Linked DNA regions of Callithrix jacchus. The main gene of each other region encodes a partner of the protein of the gene in region 3 in a complex. Links are inferred from orthologs where the notes say so. Each region holds a gene or a part of one and is shown on either strand. Other genes may lie near its edges.

Region 1 (3,858 bases), on a different chromosome or scaffold from region 3:
AGTGGGATGCAGAAGGGTCAGGGAGAGGAAGCATGGAGGCCGGCTCCCAGTCCCGGCTGGGGCAGCTGGATGGCAGGGCTGCTGGGCACCGAAGGGGAGCAGAGAGCCCAGGGAGGGAGAGCACGCATCCTGCCCAGACACCCGGCCTCAGCCCATTCAGACCAGCGGCACCTTGGGCCAGGGGAATCCAGATTGTGGGGAACTGAGGAGGCCAAGGCTCATATATCCAGGCTCGGGCCAGCCCAGTCCTGCTGGGACAGCTGGCCACAGCTGGGACTGGAGGCAAGGCTGTTCTGAGCAATGACAGTGAGCTCCCCTGGGCCACCGCTGGGGGTTCCGGTGGCTTCACCTGCTGGAGCCCAAACCCAGGGGGATCTGAGTGACGACTGAACTCCAGGAAAGAAGGCAAGGCCATGACATGGAGCCTCACACACAGGCTCGAGACCACAGGCGGGGCTGAGCAACTTTGCAGGACGGTTTATTCCAAAGCTGCGGATGGGAAGTTAAGAACAAAGAGGTGACTCGTGTGGAACCTGCAACACAGATGCCTCTCTTCCCAGAAGGGCTGTGACGTTCAGGCCCCCCAGGTGGCCAGCCCCTCGGCAGGGCACCACGGCTAATGCCGCCTGGACCGCAGGGACTTTCTGTTCGATTTCGAGATACCAGGCTCCCTCTCCTTCTCAGGGTCGAAGACTTCTGTACACAGAAAAGGCAGGGAAGACACAGTGAACGGAGGGGCTGGCGACACAGGGGCACCAGCTCAAGCCAGCAGCGACATCTCTTGTGCCAAGGACTCTGTCCTAGGCCTACACCATTCCCACTGCTAAGCCTTCCCAGCCCAGGAGGAAGGCAGAGTGAGCCCCAGTCCACAGAGGAACAAACTGAGGGAGCTGTGGACATGCTTTCGCACCCCCTAAGAGGGCCACCAGAGAGAGCCTTGTCTATGCAAGTGCTCCTGTGCGTAGGAATTTCTACTGGGTTCCAGAAAGCCCTCTGGAACGGTGTAGGCAGCTCCACCTTCACTTCTGCAGTGGCTGCTTCTAGGACTCAAGCTGCTAACACGGACCCCCACACACCATGGAGCGCGTCGGGGGCCGTCTCCAAGGGCTTCCCCCGTGCCAGGCCTGTGTCCTGCTGACCCAGCCCTCCCACAAGCGCCTCCGGCCCAGGCACCTGGGATCTCATGGGGCCAGTAGTCGTTGCAGTGAGGGCAGCGCGGTTCGGCATTCGACCGGAAGTACTTGGCCACGCAGGGTAAGTGCATCCTGATCCCGCAGGTCTCGCAGCTTTGACCCTGAAACAAGAAAGGCCAGTGCCTGTGGAGCTCATGCACACCTCCGTGTTCCGCAAAGCTCCAGGGAAGCTGCAAGGAGAATAGTCAGCAGGCAGCAGGCATCGTGTTACCTTCCGGGCCCCAGATTAATAAATACTGAAAATAATCCCAACGCCTTAGTGCAGTGGAGTCTTTGGTTTGTTTGCTTGTTTGTTGCAGTCGGTTTTACTAAACAATTCTGTATACAGGAATGCAGAGACAGAAGCCAAGGGGCTCGCCAGCTCCTGCACTCAGATCAGATCCTATAGGAGGCGTGTGGACAGCCACAGCTTTTCAGAAGGTTATTTGCTAACATGGATCAAAAGCTTTAAAAAAAAAAGTGCACTTTGTCCCAGAAACTCCACCCAAGGAAATAATCACCAGGTGCCCAAGGATACAGGTGTATAAGGGCTATGTACAACTGCAGTTACAAAATACAACTGCGAAACGACAGAAACTGAAAGGACACATCGACGTCCACGCTGGTTCAGTGGCCGCAAAGCCCTGCAAAACATCGGCGTGAAACAGACTACTCAGGAAAGCAGCATCAATACAGATGCTCACACACAACTGCCAAGACAATGCAGCCTGCACGGAAGACTCAGAAGAGCCTTCCTGAGAATAAAATAAGCGAGAGCCCACGGACTCCAACAGCAGAGCCAGGAGGAGGGGAGGCAGCGCGTCCCTGCGAGCCGCAGTGGGGAGGCAGCCTCTGACACGTCCTGGGAGATGGTCTTGGCCAGATCTCCTAGGAGGAAGCCTGGGAATGAGGGAGGGTTGGGCTCAGAGCCAGGAAGTATGTGTGCAGACCCGGGAGCTGATGGCCTGCCCCATGGGTACCTGGATGAGGAGGCTGTGGCAGATATTGCAGATCTTCACTGAGTCAGGGTACGTCTCCCGGATGTACTGCTCCATCTCCAGGATGGCCCGGCCGTGCAGGGTGAACTCCCCTTCCTTCTGCAGGGACACATGGGAGGCAGCCACCCTCAGCCAGGCCCTCTCCCCACTCACCAACTTCTGTTCCCTCTGCTATCCCACAGCCCAGAGCCCAGGAAGATGCAAGGGTCGAGGCAGCTTTTCCCCAACTCCAGCCAACAGGCATCAGCCACATCCCCCTGGCAGAGCCTCAGCAAGGGAAACTGTGGCAAAGACCCAAAAGGCATAGAGACGAGGTTCCCCTATACCCACCTTTTCTCAGCACCTGCTGTGCCTTCACACCTGACTGCTCCGTCTGCACAGCAGCCACGGGCAAGACAGCCACAGCCCTCCTGCAGGTGAGGACACTGAGGCCCTGGGGTCAGTCTCCCCAGGGTGCGAACCTGAGCACGCACCGCTTCCATCAGCCACCCACCCCACTCCCAAAGAGCAGCATCCCCAGTGCCTCCCAGCACTTCTGCCTCCAGCTGCAGCAGGGACCCTCAGATATCACTTCCAGCCACATCACTTTACAGATGGAGCTGGAAGGAGTCTGGAGAGGGCAGACGGGTCCCATCACACTGTGGGGAGTGGAGCCTCCAGTGGAAGCCAGGCCTCCTGGTTTCCACACAGGGGCGGGCCACCCATCATGCATCCTGAAAACCCTGGGAGAGCAAGGAAGTGCATGAGTAATGCAGCTCCCCAGGCTGACCCTACTGCCAGGTCACAGGAAAGAGACAGCATGGAGGAAGGCCCAAGGGAGGCAAATGACCTGGGACCCAGGACACGGACCTATGCAGGCTGATTCCAGCTTCTCCACAGTCAGCTCATACATTGGACATCAACTGCACCAGGAGATGGCGTCACTGATGCCTGTGAGTCACCTGAGTGCTCAACCGCCTTTTCTGTTATTTTCTAATTTTTACAAGCAAGAGCTGTCACTCCCGTTCCTGACAGGTAGAGCCCCCCACCCCATTCCTGCCTCCATCCCCACAGTGCAGCGTGGAGGGGGTGTGCTTGCGTAACCTGGGCTCACAGTGCGTTCACTCTGGTACACCGGTGAAGGGGTCTGGTGAGCACAGGAAGGGAGACAGGGCAGAGGTTGGGGTGTGCATTGCAGGAGCAGTGGAGGGAGGCCTGGGCACCAGGCACATGTGCCCTACACCATGGCAGTTGCTAGTGCACAGGGGCTTTCTGCCCTTCAAGTGCTGTGGGCACGGGAGGATGTGACCAGCCCCCAGGCCGTCCTCGGTCCTCGGACCTATGGCTGTTACCTTCCCCAAAGCTCCCAGATCCATCATGGCACTCCATCTTCCCGGCCACCGCCCTCTTCCACCCTCCCCTGCTCCTGCTGCTCTCTGAGCCCACTCTCCTCCAGCAACGAGCTCGCTACAAAACAAGCCTGGCCCTGTCACTCTCACCTCACTACCACCCCCCATCCCACTCACCCCCCAGGGCTTCTTACCACCCTTAGGTCCAAGAGCCAAGTCCCTGATGCGCCTATCCCCTGGGCTCCCCTCATCCACTTGCCCCAGCAATCTCTGTGCTCCAATGGCCCTGGCCTCAGCTTCCTGAGCACACCAGCCCCTCTGGCCACAGAGTGGTTGCGGGCTGATGATCCTCCCACCCCA
Region 2 (2,835 bases), on a different chromosome or scaffold from region 3:
AAGGTCAAGAGATCGAGACCATCCTGGCCAACATGGTGAAACCCCATCTCTTTTAGTAAAAAATACAAAAATTAGGTGGGCGTGGTGGTGTGCACCTGTAGTCCCAGCTGCTTGGGAGGCTGAGGCGGGACAATCACTTGAACCAGGGAGGCGGAGGTTGCAGTGAGCCAAGATCGCACCACTGCACTCCAGCCTGGCGACAGAGCAAGTCGTCTCAAAAAAAAAAAAAAAAAAAAAAGTGGTCATATACTTAGAAATCCCCTGTGGCTTAATCATATAGTTTTTGGCCCACTATGTACATATTAGCAGGAATACTTCCCAAAAAGGAATTTAAAAGGTAACAAAAGGGGTAAGTTCCAGTGTCCTACTTAATCAGAGGAAGAAACATAGGAGTCATATCATTATGTTCTGGAATTGAGATTTTTCTCATTCCTTTTCTGGAAAAGGCACTCTTTCAGCACTAAAAGATGACTGGGAAATGCAACCCCTAAAACTCTGGCTTTTCATTTTCCTAAAAAAAAAGCCTCTCTTGTCATGTACTACCCTTCCTCTTCATTTGTCACTACCACTGTGCTGGCCTACGGGAAATTTAAGTATCCCAACATCTACTCACAGGTTAAACTTTGATAAAAACAGAATTATCTTTATAGAGAATTTTCCATAATCTACAACCATTGCAATGGGAAATTTTCTTTTGTTAAATCTAGCGTTATGGGTAAATTACAAAGTGTATATATTCAAAATGTGTTTATTAATGTAATCAGATTTTTTATTTTTTAATTAAGTACTTATGAAAAATTTTAGCCAGGTGCAGTGGCTCACACCTGTAATCCTGGTACTTTGGGAGGCCAAGGCAAGTAGATCGCTTGAGCCCAGGAGTTTGAGACCAGCCTGAGAAACATGGCAAAACCCCATCTCTACAAACAAAAAATGCAAAAATTAGCTGGGTTTGGCAGCATGCATCTATAGTCCCAGCTACTCGGGAGGCTGAGATAGGAGGATCACTTGAGACCAGGAGGGGGAGGTTTCAGTGAGCCAAGATCACACCACTGCACTACAGCCTGGGTGACAGAATGATACTTTGTCTTTAAAAAAACAAAAAATTGCTTTTGCCCATCCTGCATTCAAATTTTTATTAAATAGTGTCATCTGTCTAATTTTTTCAGTAGATATTCTTGTGGAATAGTCAGATCTGTTAATACCCTACTGCTTGCCAAATACCTTAGCCTATAAACGTCTCTGTTACACATTTTTCAGGATAGTACGCTGTCAAACAAGTTGCTTGAGAAGTGTTTGTCAACAAAAAGTGAAAGTATCTATCTTAGGAAAATTATGGAGGACATACTCTTTTCCAAGGTCTCCCTGGGAAGTTGAATAATCCCAGTTATCCTGTGAATCTAGAGGGCTCAATTATTCCTTATTTCGATTATTCCTTAGGCCAGGTATACTAATGTAGGTAAGGATTACAGTCCATCAAGGTTTATATTGAGGTGGGGTCCGTAAGAGTCTTACTGGCTGGGCATAATGGCTCACACCTGTAATCCCAGCACTTTGGGAGGCTGAGGTAGGCAGAGCACCTGAGGTCGGCAGATCACCTGAGGTCAGGACTTCAAGACCAGCCTGGCCAATAGGATGAAAATGCCATCTCTTCTAAAACTACAAAAAAATTATCTGGGCCTGGTAGCACGTGCCTGTAATCCCAGCTGCTGTGGAGGCTGGCTGGGACACGAGAATCTCGAACCTGGGAAGTGGAGGTTGCAGCCAGCCAAGATCACACTACTGCACTCCATCCTGGGCAACAGAGTGAAAAAAAAAAAAAAAGTTTTATTAATATTACAAATAAAACAATACATTTGACTATACACATATAAGGTTGGAAACTTTTTCTCATTATAGAGCTTATGTGACAGTTTGTCTGTTTTAATACTGACAGCTCCTGCAAAATCTTCCTTATTCTGAAAAGATGACAGTATTGTTTGTCTACAATGGCCCTCATATGCTGGAACCAAACAGATGGAATTTAAAGGCTTTCCAAAGACGGCGGCGCCGTATTACATTCACTCAACCTTCTCAATAAAAGTAAAGAGGAGACTTGGGAATTTTTCTATTAAATTCTGTTTATAAGTGTGGCTCAACTGAATAAAAGTTAGGAGATTGATTAAAACAAAAGCAGTTATTTTTGGAAACCTGCCTTTTTTTTTTTTTTTTTGAGACGGAGTTTTGCTGTTGTTACCCATACTGGAGTGCAATGGCACGATCTCGGCTCACCGCAACCTCCGCCTTCTGGGTTCAGGCAATTCTCCTGCCTCAGCCTCCCGAGTAGCTGGGACTACAGGCGTGTACCACCATGCCCAGATAATTTTTGTATTTTTAGTAGAGACGGGGTTTTACCTCATTGACCAGGATGGTCTCGATCTGTTGACCTCGTGATCCACCCGCCTCGGCCTCCCAAAGTGCTGGGATTATAGGCGTGAGCCACCACGCCCAGCCGGAAACCTGCTTTTAAATACAAATACGTTGATAATGGAAACCATAATGACCTTTCTAAAACATCATCTGGTTGTAAAAGTTAAGTCTTCTTCAATCTTGGTTGAACTTGGGTCCTTAGCAACTCTGACCATGAGTCATAGAGTTCTCATGTTAAAAGGTACTTATTACGAATCAAGGGTACAGTGGAAGAGGGTTTAATCAATCACAAGAAGTTTACTTATATGGTATCCCTGAGCTTTAATTGCAGAGTAACTTTAATTACTTTTAGAGCCTAAAGATGACTCTAGAGCCTAAGCTCTAGTTTCTCCCAGTGTTATATTTAATTTTTAAAAATTGATATGAAAA
Region 3 (3,688 bases):
TTCCTATACCCTAAGGGGTAGATCTTATATCTCACCCTCGTGCTCCCACTGTTGAATGTGGGTTATACTCACCACACACATTATATTTCCCCATAAAACTATACATATAATAGAGTCAGACTAGAGGAATACACCTTTTGAACCAGTAATTGTTCCCATAGGAATGATTTAGAAAAGGATAATTAAAGTGGCAGCTCCAGATCAAGGAGGAAAAAAAAACCAAATTAACAAATTAAAGAATAAACTGACAAGTAAAATCCTCCACATCAGGGACTAAACCCACTTTACAGGTCAGGAAACATCTGCATACAGCAAGGAACCTACGTAAATTCATGTCAGAGTTATGGTGTAGCCAGGATCTGAACCCAGGCAGTCCGATTTCCAAGCAGGCACGGTTAATGGTTATGCTATTGCTTTAAAAGCTTTTTTGAGAGCCAGAGTGAGAAATACATTTTACCTCATGATCCTGTACACACATACAAAAGTGAAACAACACGATTTTAAAAACACACAATGCTTAACTGTTTCAAAAACACAGCATTTATTATAATAGAGTAGCAAGAAGAAAAAAAACTAAGTGGAACTACATGTTTAGCAACCAAGCTGAATAATTACGAATAAAAATAATTGCTATCTGGAGAAAACATACCATGTTCATTGCTTGGAACCATGAATAATACTTATATATGTATGAAATATAAAAAAAATAAATAGGTTAAGGTAATAAGGATATGGGCAATTATGTTATTTTTAATTTTATAAAACCTTTTATTTTTCCTTACAAACTGGGGTAGTTATGAGACCCAATAATAGCTAGCTTGCTTTTATTTTCTTGGCAGCAAAGCAACTCACTGTGTTTCTTCTTGCATATCTCTTCCAGATCATAGTCAAGTTTTCCAACTCGTTTTACTAAGCTAACAAAATTTTTCATACCAAAAACAGTAAAATCAAAACAAAACAAATCCTCCTTTGTTTATAAATGAAAATCTGGAACCAAATAACACAACGTTAAAGAACAAAACTGTGCAAACACATCCTAAAGCTACACACATTGAAGCGTTACAGAAATATGCTCCCTGGGTTCTCCCTTCCCCCATCCCTCTACAATGTGCCTTTGGGTCTCAGACTCTTGTCCCGAGATTCCCTCTGAATCCACCTCGGATTTCAAGAGGATGGGGCTGGGCCACTCGGCTGAGGTCTGGCCCTGTTCTCCTCATCCGCCAAAGCCTCACAGTACTGTGCTGGCCAGTCCTTGGGGTCTTGGTTATGGACTTTGGCCACAAACTTAAGAACTTTCATCTTGCTGGTTTCCAGGTTGGTTCGTGGGCCCCACTGGAATTCGTAGTCCACGGGGTCGGTGTGAGGTATCCGCCGGTACTCCAGGTAACGCTGTCGCACGAAGTCCTCAGTGATGAGTTTCTTTGGATCTCCGAAAACCAAATGCTTCTTGGTAGGAAAGACCCCTAGCCGCCGCAGAAAGTCCCAGACTTCAGTCTCCTTGATGGTGTTGCCCCTCATAAAGATGAGCCCCAAGACGATCATCAGGAGGCCCGTGGTGGGCGTGCCTTGGTCGCCCCTCACCTCGGCATCCTCCTCCACGGGCTCCAGGGTGTTGATGAGGATGTAAGTGTTGCTCTTGGGTTCAAGTTCCACCAGCTTGTACCCGAAGACGTACTGGAGGCGCTCGGCGGCCAGTTTGAGGAGGTCGGGGAAGATGTCCTTGTAGTCCCCGACGACGTGCTTCAGTATGTCGGCCCGCTTGATCGGAATCTTCTTCTGGTCCTTAATCAGCAAGAACTGCACCAGCTCGGACACTTTCAGCTCCAGCTGCTTCTGGGTCCGGGGCCCCACGGCGGGGGCGGCCAGAGAACCGCGGGCGCCCTGAGGCGAGGAGCTCCGCGCCCCCTGCGAGCCGCCCGACCCGCGGGACGTGCTCGGGGTCTCCTCGGCAACGCAGTCTCTGGGGGCCCGGGCGTCTCCGCCTTGGCTCGAGTCTCTGACCCTCTCGGCGTGGCCGCTAGAGCGGCCCCGGCTCCTCGGCTTTTGCAACATGTTACCGGCGGCGGGCTCCGGCGCAGACTCCAGCCGGCAAACACTCCGGCCCGCAAGCAGCCGCGGCGGGAATGTGGGTCGACGCAACAAGCGGACGCCAGGCCCTGGGCGGGGCCACAGGAGGGGCGCGCGGCGACGGCGGAGGCTGCGCGCTGCGTCACTAAGCCTGCGCCTTGCGTCGCGGCGGCTGGACGGTGCGCCTGCGCGGCTGCCGCGGGTACAAAATCAAATAGCGTTTTTTTTTGTGCAGCCTTTGCTGGTCCGGGCGATGATTTTTAGTAGAGTGAAGTGTTCTTACCAAACCATGCAAGCGGAGGACGAGAACCAAAATCCCTAAACAAGTGTGTGGCTAAATTCAGGACCACACAGGCTCAGGCAAGTTTTACAGACAGTATGATGCGTTTGTAAATCGGGAGCATTTGTCAAGATCTCAAAGATCAATATGTGAGGGGGGGGGAAATAAAAAAGGTGAAGAGGAAGGTACGGCTTTGGAAGTAAAGTAAAAGCATTTATTTCTACACAAAATGTGGGAGGACATAAAAAGCCCCAAGGGTTCTTAGTTTTCGTCCCTCCGCCCAATTTCATACCCTCCAACCTATTACCCCCAGTTACTTTCCCTAATGCCCCGGGGAGTCTGTTAAAAACCAAAGTCTGCGGCAGGCTTTCCTCGCAAGCAGGACTTCGGTTTCACTATTTCCGTATTTATATATTTTGCATTAAACTCTAGCTAGACAACTATGAGAAAACAACACGAAACGTGTCAATATTAAGTAATGTTGTAGTTTGTCAAGTGAGTGTATCTTTTCGAAAAGATAAAACCACTGCTTTGGGCTCACAACCACAATTTTAACAGAAATGGGCAAGAGGAATGCTGCAAACAGAAACGTGCACGCTCAAGAGATTACCATTTAATTGGGGGCATGACTCATCAAAAATTGCAATAATGTGGATCTCTTAAATTTCTTAATTCGTAATATATTAGCTTTAAAGAAAAGAGAACACTAGGGTACCATCCCTCATAATCTGTGATGTGTGCAGTCTCTGTATTTTAATTGTGCAACTCAAGCAGCCAAAATGAGTCATTTCATTAACTGAAACCATCAGCAGTCTGCTGCCAGTACTTCTACAGATCTTAGCAAATGTGTTTCTTCTCTATTTATTGACTTGCAAAGAAGAAACTGAATTTCCCTGTCTTTTTAAAGCTACCCAGAAAGTGGATAAACTCTTCAAAGAACCAAATCAAATTGATTTCCTCTTTAATGCAAATATATTCAAAGGAAAGCAATTTCAAATATATTCAAAGAACACATTATCTGAATAATAGCATCAAACACAACCTTATTAAAATTTTGTTAAATGTTAGTAGCATAACACTTTTGTTTGTGATTCAGTAGGAAAATGCAATCTGATAATGGCACTGGAACTGCAATACTAAATGCAAAATCATATTCCATGAACTAATGCAAGTATGCTAGAATCTGGTATGCAAAGAGTAATAACTTACTGCTCCACACGAGATCCAACTACATCCTCAGGCATCAATCTTAATGACAGAGGCCTACTATGAACAACAAATATATTATCAAGGCATTCATTTTTTTTTTTTTTTTTTTTTTTTACAATGAGAAAATTCATC
Region 4 (3,858 bases), on a different chromosome or scaffold from region 3:
CTTCTCTGATATCTTTTGTTTACACAGGGTATCTTTTGGGTCTCTAATCAGCTCTTTTACTCAGACACAGCATTCATCCTGAGAATCTCTTAAGTGAAATTCATCTTGTCTCTTTAACTGATTTATATGTATTTTGGAATACTCCACATTTTATTCTGCATAATTCTGTCACTGGGACCACTGGCAAAATATGCCTTTGTTATCATTTCTGAGAAAATACTTCGGTTGACACAAGCTTTTCTCTGAGGTTAATATCAAATTCATCTTATATGTGGGAATGCAACCTGAAGTAAGATTAAAGACAGTCTAAAGCAAATTTCCATGGTACATTTCTAAGTAGAGTTTTTTTTAAACCAATTTTGAAATAATTTCAGACTTAAAGGGTTATAAGACTACCATAAACATGTGCCATATGGCCTTTACCCATATTCATCAGTCGTTAAAGTGTCAGTTACCACATTTACTTTATCACTCTACATATTATTATTGAAGAATGAAGTGAGAATGATAGGTGGCCTGCTCCTTTTCCCTAATCTTTCAGTGACTATTTCTTGAGAAGAAGGATATTCTCTTATACAATATGACAGTTATCAAAATCAGGAAATTTAACAGTTTTACCATTCTGTCATCTAATCTACAATTGCATTCAAATTTTTCCAATTCTTTCTCTAAATAATGTCTAAAACATAAAAGCAAGCACATAAAATTTTAGGTAGTTTCTTCTACCTAATATGCCAAGATTAATATTTTGCTACAATGGGTCTGAAACATACACTGGCCAGTGTACACAGATACCTTTGCCAGCTCCCTTCTACAGCTTTTCTTCTGTATCCTTTTAAAAGCATATAAAAGCAATCAAAAAATAATCTTTAATCTTACCCGTATAATGAAGGAAACATGAAAGATGTTTTCCACTGTCCGGGGGAAAGAATGTGGATCAACCACAAAGTCAAAGAAGGAAATTGGGGTATCAGCTACAGACAAAAAGAAAAAAAATTAATTTCTGCTAATCAATAATATCAGTACTCTCTAGCATTAGCCAGACAGACAAAGAAAAGACGAGTACTCATCCTGATGCAAGAATGTCTATCAATCCAGGCTGGGCACCGTGGCTCATGCCTGTAATCTCAGCATTTTGGGAGGCCAAGGAGTTCAAGACCAGCCTGACCAACATGGTGAAACCCTGTCTCTACTAAAAATACAAAAATTAGCTGGGCGTGGTGGCACGTGCCTGTAATCCTAGCTACTCAGGAGGCTGAGGCAGGAGAATTGCCTGAACCCAGGAGGTGGAGGCTGCGGTTAGCCAAGATTGTGCCACTGCACTTCAGCCTGGGCGACAGAGTGAGACTCTGTCTCAAAAAAAAAAAAAGAATGTATATCAGTCCAATCCTTCTGGGGGTCAGTATGGCATCTCTTCTAAAATCATGTATGCCCACTTACCTGGAAGCCACCTCTAAAAGGCTGTCCTGCAGAAATACAAGCATAAGTGCACAAAATTACATACTAAGATCTTTTACTTCAGCAATTCACAGAAGAGTAAAATGCTATAAAGAACTTAATCATCCAACTGGGTATGGTGCTCACGCCTAAAATCCCAGCACTTTGGAAGGTTGATGCTAACAGATCACCTGAGGTCAGGAGTTTGAGACCAGCTTGGCCAACATGGCGAAACCCCGTCTCTACTAAAAATACACACACAAAAAAATTAGCCAGACGTGGTGGCGTGTGCCTGTAATCCCAGCTACTCCGGGGGCTAAGGCAGAAGAATCGCTTGAACCTGGGAAGTGAAGGCTGCAGTGAGCCGAGATGGTGCCACAGTGCTCCAGCCTGGGCAACAGAGTGAGACTCTGTCTCAAAAAAAAAAAAAAATTAATTATCCATTAATGGAGGATCTGTTAAATATATTTATAGTACAGCCATATAGTGGGAATCAGTGAGCAAAATAAGGGAGATCTGTATGTAATAATATGGAAGAATGTCCACATGGAAAAGTCACTTCACAGGAGAATGTTCATATTATGATTAGCTTGGAAAAAAAGAAAAACAAAAACTATTTAGGTAGATAGGACTGATAAACAAAATAATTTGAAAATATAGACCCTGCATTTTATAATGAGGTGGAATAGGTACTTTTGACACTTCTTACTTGAATGGCATATTTCATTTTGTAACAAAAAAATCCCCATCTTTTAAAGATAAAAATAAAAAGTTAACTTTGAAGTTCTCACATGAAATTTCAAAAGGAGAGAAGAATCCTCATTAAATGTATATGCCAAGAAGTTATCAAAATGCTTCAAACATTACATACAGCTGAAATTGCCTTTTCAACACAAGTATCCTCATTGGACAGATAAATCCACTTTGAATTTGGTGTTACACTTACGATCTTCTCGAAAATATGTCTGCAATAATCCCAAGATTCTTTCTACTTCTTTCTCTGTTGCTTCTTGGTGAGATTCTTCCATTCTGCTTAACTGAAAAAATTAAAGTGATTATCAAGCTGACGGCTGACTTACTGGCCTATTAACAACCTTTTCTTCTCTCTTGCACACCCACACTTTTAAATTGAGACAGGGTTTCTGCTTTGCCACCCAGGCTAGAGTTCAGTGGCACAATCTCAGCTCACTGTCACCTCAGACTCCTGTGCTCAAACGATCCTACCAACTCAGCTTCCTGAGTAGCAGCTAGAAGTGTGCACCACTACACCTGGCTATTTTTTTTTTTAATTCATGCTACTTTGTCTAATTAGATATGGGGTCTTGCTATGTTGCTCAGGCTGGTCTCAAACTTCTGGTCTCAAGTGATCCTCCTGCCTCAGCCTCCCCAAAGCACCTGGATTACAGGCATGAGCCACTGTGCCCAGTCTAAATGTCTTCTGCTGGGGATTGCTAGCAGTTTATATCCCCATCTTAACATATATCATTTAAAAAAATACAGACTTTCTAGTTTCAAGTTACTAATAGAAGAGTAACATTACAAAATCAACTATTTTCAGGTTGAACATAAAATAGCAAAATACAAAAGGGCAGTTTAGAAACAGTAGTTCTCAAGTGGGCGTGACTTTCCCCCTGTCCCCAGGGGACATGAGTTGTCATATGTAGACATTTTTGGTTGTCATAATTGGGGGGTGGGGGTGGGCTACTGACATACAGTAGGTAGAGGCCAGGGGTGCTGCTAAACACCCTATAATGCACACGACAGCTCCCAAAACCAAGAATTATCCAGCCCTAAATATTGACGGCGCTGAGGGAGAGAAACCCTGGCTTAGAACTGATGAAAACTACAGAAATTAGTTTAAACAAAGACAAGCAACCAATCCAATAAAATGCTTAATGGCTTAAATAAAATGATAAACATTTAAGTGACAAAACCTGGCTCCAGACCCAAAAGCTTAGAAAAAATGGCCAACTTGCATGCACATTATTTTAACAGCTATTTTAACTTCTAGGTGTTTTTTTAAAAAGCAACATTTTAAAACAAACAAACCTGGGCGGGCATTGCCCTCTCCTCTCGGACTGCAGGAACTCTTCTTGGACGATCAACTCGTGGCTTTGGCGCAGGGAACTCTCCATATATTGAACCCAACCTAATGAAAAATATGCTTTCATGCCTTTTTTTGCCTGTTGTTTAACAAACTAATTTCACTAATTACAACTAGTTTGCATGGTATAGTCAAATTCAGACCAGGCATCAGTGATATATATATATATATAAGCTGACATCAGACCAAGACTCTTGGTAAGGTTTATGACATCCTTTCTGACTTATTTGTATTTCTACAAAACTCCTAGGAGCTTTACTCAACCACAGATACCTCCTCAGACACCTTCATATTGCCCTGCACAGTAAGCCAGTCAA
Region 5 (3,258 bases), on a different chromosome or scaffold from region 3:
TGGAGGTTGCAGTGAGCCAAGATCAAGCCACTGCACTCCAGCCTGGCGACGGAGTGAGACTCATTCTCAAAAAAAAAAAAAAAGAAAGAAAGAAATTTAGCTCCATGATGGTGTAGGCACTACTCACATGTTGGTATTGCTTGTGTCCCCAGCACCTGGACAGGGCCTGGTTCAGGGAGGGGCTCAGTGAATAAATGAATGAGCACACTTTGGTCCTGATTTTTAATGCTTTTCCTTTTCTGGTAAAATGCCTCACTTAAATACTTGAGTATAAAAGAAGTTTCTGCTTAAGACAGTAAAGGGGACTGACTTGACGTTCTTTCTCCCTCACAGTTGCCCTAAAATTGGCTGTAGCCACACGGATATGAGAATGTCGGATCTCGTCCAGGATGAAGCACTTAGAAGGGCGATTGAGAACCATAACAAGAAAAGACATCGTCATTCCGAATAGGAAAAGCCACCTGCCCGCAAGGCATCCGCAGCCTACCTCCTACCCCAGCCGTCTGTTGAGAGCAGTGCTGAACCCGGCGGTTAGGGACTGGCTGCAGAGCATACTTGTTTGGGGTAAAACAAGTGTGCTTGAAAACATTTTTCTAAGTTACACAACAGAAATGCAAGCATATTGTTTATTTTTAAGTGTTCTATAATGTTGAATAAAACTTTGATCATCTGCGGTGTCCTGCCTGCACACCTCCTAATATATGGATTATTCCAGAGGCGCAGGCATTGCCATTTCGAGGACATCAGACTGATTTTTATAATAGTTTTGACTAAAGAATGGCTTTCAGGTGGCTCATACCTTTAATCCCAGTACTTTGGGAAGCCAAGGTGGCCAGATCACTTGAGGTCAGGAGTTCAAGACCAGCCTGGGCAACATAGTGAAACTCCATCTCTACCAAAAATACAAAAATCAGCCACGTGGGGTGGTGCACACCTGTAATCCTAGCTACTCGGGAGTCTAAGGCAGGCGAATCAGTTGAATCCAGGAAGTAGAGGTTACAGTGAGCTGAGATCGCACCACTGCACTCCAGCCTGGGAGACAGAGCAAGACTCTATCTTAAAAAAAAAAAAAAAGGTATGTCTTTCAAGTGATATTTGAAATTAAAACATATAGAAATACCCCCACTCACGTATAGTAAATAATGCCATTGAGTTATAAAGCAAAGCCAGTTTGCTTTCCTGTATTTACATTGTATATTGACAGTTCCAAACATAAATGCTTTTAGTGTCATTCTGAATGGAATAGAATGCTCCAGTAGACTGGCTTATCAGTGCATTGCAGTGATGATGGATGTCTATAGTGGAACTCTGCTGCAGCCCTCCAAGAGCCTAAACTGCCATCAACAGGAACTACATTCCAGCTGCTCTCTATTTTTCTGGATGGCTGGCTGCAAGTGACCCTGGGCGCTGGTGTCTTCAGCCATGAAATGAAGGTGTTTAGCAAGATGCTCTCTAACGTCCTATGACCCCTGAGAGTCTGTGGATTTACACCAGCAGGATCTTTAAGTTGAATGTCTTCAATTACATTCTAATTGTGTGATGAGCACCAATCTATTGCCTCCATTAGCAACCTTTTATCAAGCTTACTATTTAATTAAACCAAATGAAACATACCCTGGTGACACTGGAAAACCAAGAATAGCCAATAATAGCTAACATTTATTGAGTACTTACTGTATACCAGGTGCTATTCCAAGTGCTTTACATATATATTAACTCCTATAATCTTCATAGCCTATCGAGAGAGGTACAGTTCTTACAGATAAGGAAAACTAGGCACAGAGAAGCAAAGCCACCCATGGAAAGTCATAGAGCTAGGAGATGGCTGAACTGGGAGCAGAATCTGGAGATCCCAGTCCTAAAATCTCCACTTTTAATTCCATACTCTACTCCTCTCTATTGACTTTATTTAGAAACTGAAAATATATTCAAAGCCCACATTTAGAAACCAACGCTTTTGTAAATAAACAATGCGTGTGTGTGTGTGTGTGTGTCCATGTACAAAAAAAAGTCTAATTAAAATGGAGGCCTAGGCGGGAGGATCACTTAAGCCCAGGAGTTTGAGACCATAAAACTTTTAATAGAGATGGCAAGTCCCCATCTCTATTAAAAAAGAGGCAGGTCGAGGTGGCTCATTCCTGTAATCCCAGCACTTTGGGAGGCCTGCCTCGGCTGATGACCCCCCCACCTCACACAGCCCCCGCAACCCGTGTTTGCCATTATCCCTGATTGCCCTGTGGAGCTTCCCCCTCCACCCACATAAGCTTCCCCTCACCCCACCCTGCCATCTTAACGGTTATTATGATAATGTGACTACTCCTCACCCCACCCTGCTATCTTAACTACTCTTATCCCACCCACCATTGCAACTGAACTTATGGTAATGTTATACTCCTTGCCTGGACCCCCCACCACTGTAACTGATCTTACTCTGTAACTTTCCACTGCCCACCCCAAACCTATAAAACCAACTCCTGTCCCACTGCCCTTTGCTAATGTCCTTTTCGGCCTTAGCCCACCAGCACCCAGGTGAATAAACAGCCATGTTGCTCACACAAAGCCTGTTTGGGGGGGGTCTCTTCATTCAAAGCATGCGTTTTTAATAATTATCAGGTCAGGAGTTTGAGACCAGCCTGGTACAAAAATTAGCCGGGCAAGGTGGCGCATGCCTGTAATCTCAGCTACTCGGGAGGCTGAGGCAGGAGAATCACTTGAACCTGGGAGGCGGAGGTTGCAGTGAGCCAAGATCATACCACTGCACTCCAGCCTGGACAACAGAGCAGACTCTGTCTCAAAAAAAATAAAAAGAAAAAAAGAAAGAAAAGAAAAAAGACCACGTGCAGTGGCTCACATCTGTAATTTCAGCATTTTGGGAGGCCACGGTGGGCAGATCATCTGAGGTCAGGAGTTCAAGACCAGCTTGGCCAACATGGAGAAACCCTGTCTTAACTAAAAATATACAACTTAGCCAGGTACAGTGGCTCACACCTGTAATCCCAGCACTTTGGGTAGCCAAGACGGGCAGATCATGAGGTCATAAGTTCGAGACAGCCTGGCCAACATGGTGTAACCCATCTCTACTAAAAATATGAAAATTAACCTTGGTGTGATCCTGTAATCCCAGCTACTCAGGAGGCTGAGGTATGAGAATTGCTTGAACCTGGGAGGCAGAGGTTGCAGTGAGCTGAGATTGTGCCACTGCACTCCAGCCTGGGCAACAGAGCGAGACTCTACCTGAAAAAAAAAAAAAGACCCACC

The links.
Region 1: the proteins of NSMCE3 (region 3) and NSMCE1 are in contact, whole or in part, in a crystal structure (PDB 7DG2), measured with the Xenopus laevis proteins. The link is inferred for Callithrix jacchus from reciprocal best matches to the Homo sapiens genes NSMCE3 and NSMCE1. Residues at the interface, in XP_018121157.1 of Xenopus laevis: Gly57, Glu58, Val60, Gln61, Tyr62, Leu64, Ile65, Lys66, Gln68, Lys69, Val82, Thr100, Gln102, Gln103, Val104, Phe105, Gly106, Phe107, Asn123, Leu125, Gln126, Arg127, Val128, Gly130, Asp131, Gly132, Met133, Arg134, Asp136, Glu137; in NP_001083134.1 of Xenopus laevis: Ile5, Glu7, Gln10, Arg11, Leu13, Gln14, Ala15, Met17, Ser18, His19, Leu30, His33, Leu37, His38, Leu54, His57, Leu58, Pro60, Leu61, Phe62, Met63, Val84, Asn86, Ile88, Thr89, Met91, Ala92, Ser93, Asp94, Gln149.
Region 2: NSMCE3 (region 3) and SMC5 share a complex: the UniProt entries of both Homo sapiens proteins name them as parts of the SMC5-SMC6 complex. The link is inferred for Callithrix jacchus from reciprocal best matches to the Homo sapiens genes NSMCE3 and SMC5.
Region 4: NSMCE3 (region 3) and NSMCE4A share a complex: the UniProt entries of both Homo sapiens proteins name them as parts of the SMC5-SMC6 complex. The link is inferred for Callithrix jacchus from reciprocal best matches to the Homo sapiens genes NSMCE3 and NSMCE4A.
Region 5: NSMCE3 (region 3) and NSMCE2 share a complex: the UniProt entries of both Homo sapiens proteins name them as parts of the SMC5-SMC6 complex. The link is inferred for Callithrix jacchus from reciprocal best matches to the Homo sapiens genes NSMCE3 and NSMCE2.

What each region holds. Positions count from the first base shown.
Region 1 is NC_133513.1:27,812,021-27,815,878, forward strand, and holds the end of NSMCE1 (non-structural maintenance of chromosomes element 1 homolog), read right to left. Parts: intron 2,270-3,858; coding exon 2,153-2,269; intron 1,420-2,152; exon of another isoform or gene 1,295-1,419; coding exon 1,174-1,294; exon of another isoform or gene 697-1,173; coding exon 617-696; 3' UTR 463-616; downstream 1-462. UniProt on the Homo sapiens protein: RING-type zinc finger-containing E3 ubiquitin ligase that assembles with melanoma antigen protein (MAGE) to catalyze the direct transfer of ubiquitin from E2 ubiquitin-conjugating enzyme to a specific substrate.
Region 2 is NC_133502.1:94,535,285-94,538,119, reverse strand, and holds part of SMC5 (structural maintenance of chromosomes protein 5), read left to right. Parts: intron 1-804; coding exon of another isoform or gene 805-861; exon of another isoform or gene 862-1,821; intron 1,822-1,933; coding exon 1,934-2,077; 3' UTR 2,078-2,835. UniProt on the Homo sapiens protein: Core component of the SMC5-SMC6 complex, a complex involved in repair of DNA double-strand breaks by homologous recombination.
Region 3 is NC_133507.1:7,526,239-7,529,926, forward strand, and holds NSMCE3 (non-structural maintenance of chromosomes element 3 homolog), read right to left. Parts: upstream 2,145-3,688; 5' UTR 2,053-2,144; coding exon 1,165-2,052; 3' UTR 518-1,164; downstream 1-517. UniProt on the Homo sapiens protein: Component of the SMC5-SMC6 complex, a complex involved in repair of DNA double-strand breaks by homologous recombination. The complex may promote sister chromatid homologous recombination by recruiting the SMC1-SMC3 cohesin complex to double-strand breaks.
Region 4 is NC_133513.1:115,348,463-115,352,320, forward strand, and holds part of NSMCE4A (non-structural maintenance of chromosomes element 4 homolog A), read right to left. Parts: intron 3,587-3,858; coding exon 3,487-3,586; intron 2,475-3,486; coding exon 2,384-2,474; coding exon of another isoform or gene 2,380-2,383; intron 1,354-2,379; coding exon of another isoform or gene 1,248-1,353; exon of another isoform or gene 981-1,247; intron 975-980; coding exon 880-974; intron 1-879. UniProt on the Homo sapiens protein: Component of the SMC5-SMC6 complex, a complex involved in DNA double-strand breaks by homologous recombination. The complex may promote sister chromatid homologous recombination by recruiting the SMC1-SMC3 cohesin complex to double-strand breaks.
Region 5 is NC_133517.1:72,007,532-72,010,789, reverse strand, and holds the end of NSMCE2 (E3 SUMO-protein ligase NSE2), read left to right. Parts: intron 1-333; coding exon 334-451; 3' UTR 452-2,559; downstream 2,560-3,258. UniProt on the Homo sapiens protein: E3 SUMO-protein ligase component of the SMC5-SMC6 complex, a complex involved in DNA double-strand break repair by homologous recombination. Is not be required for the stability of the complex.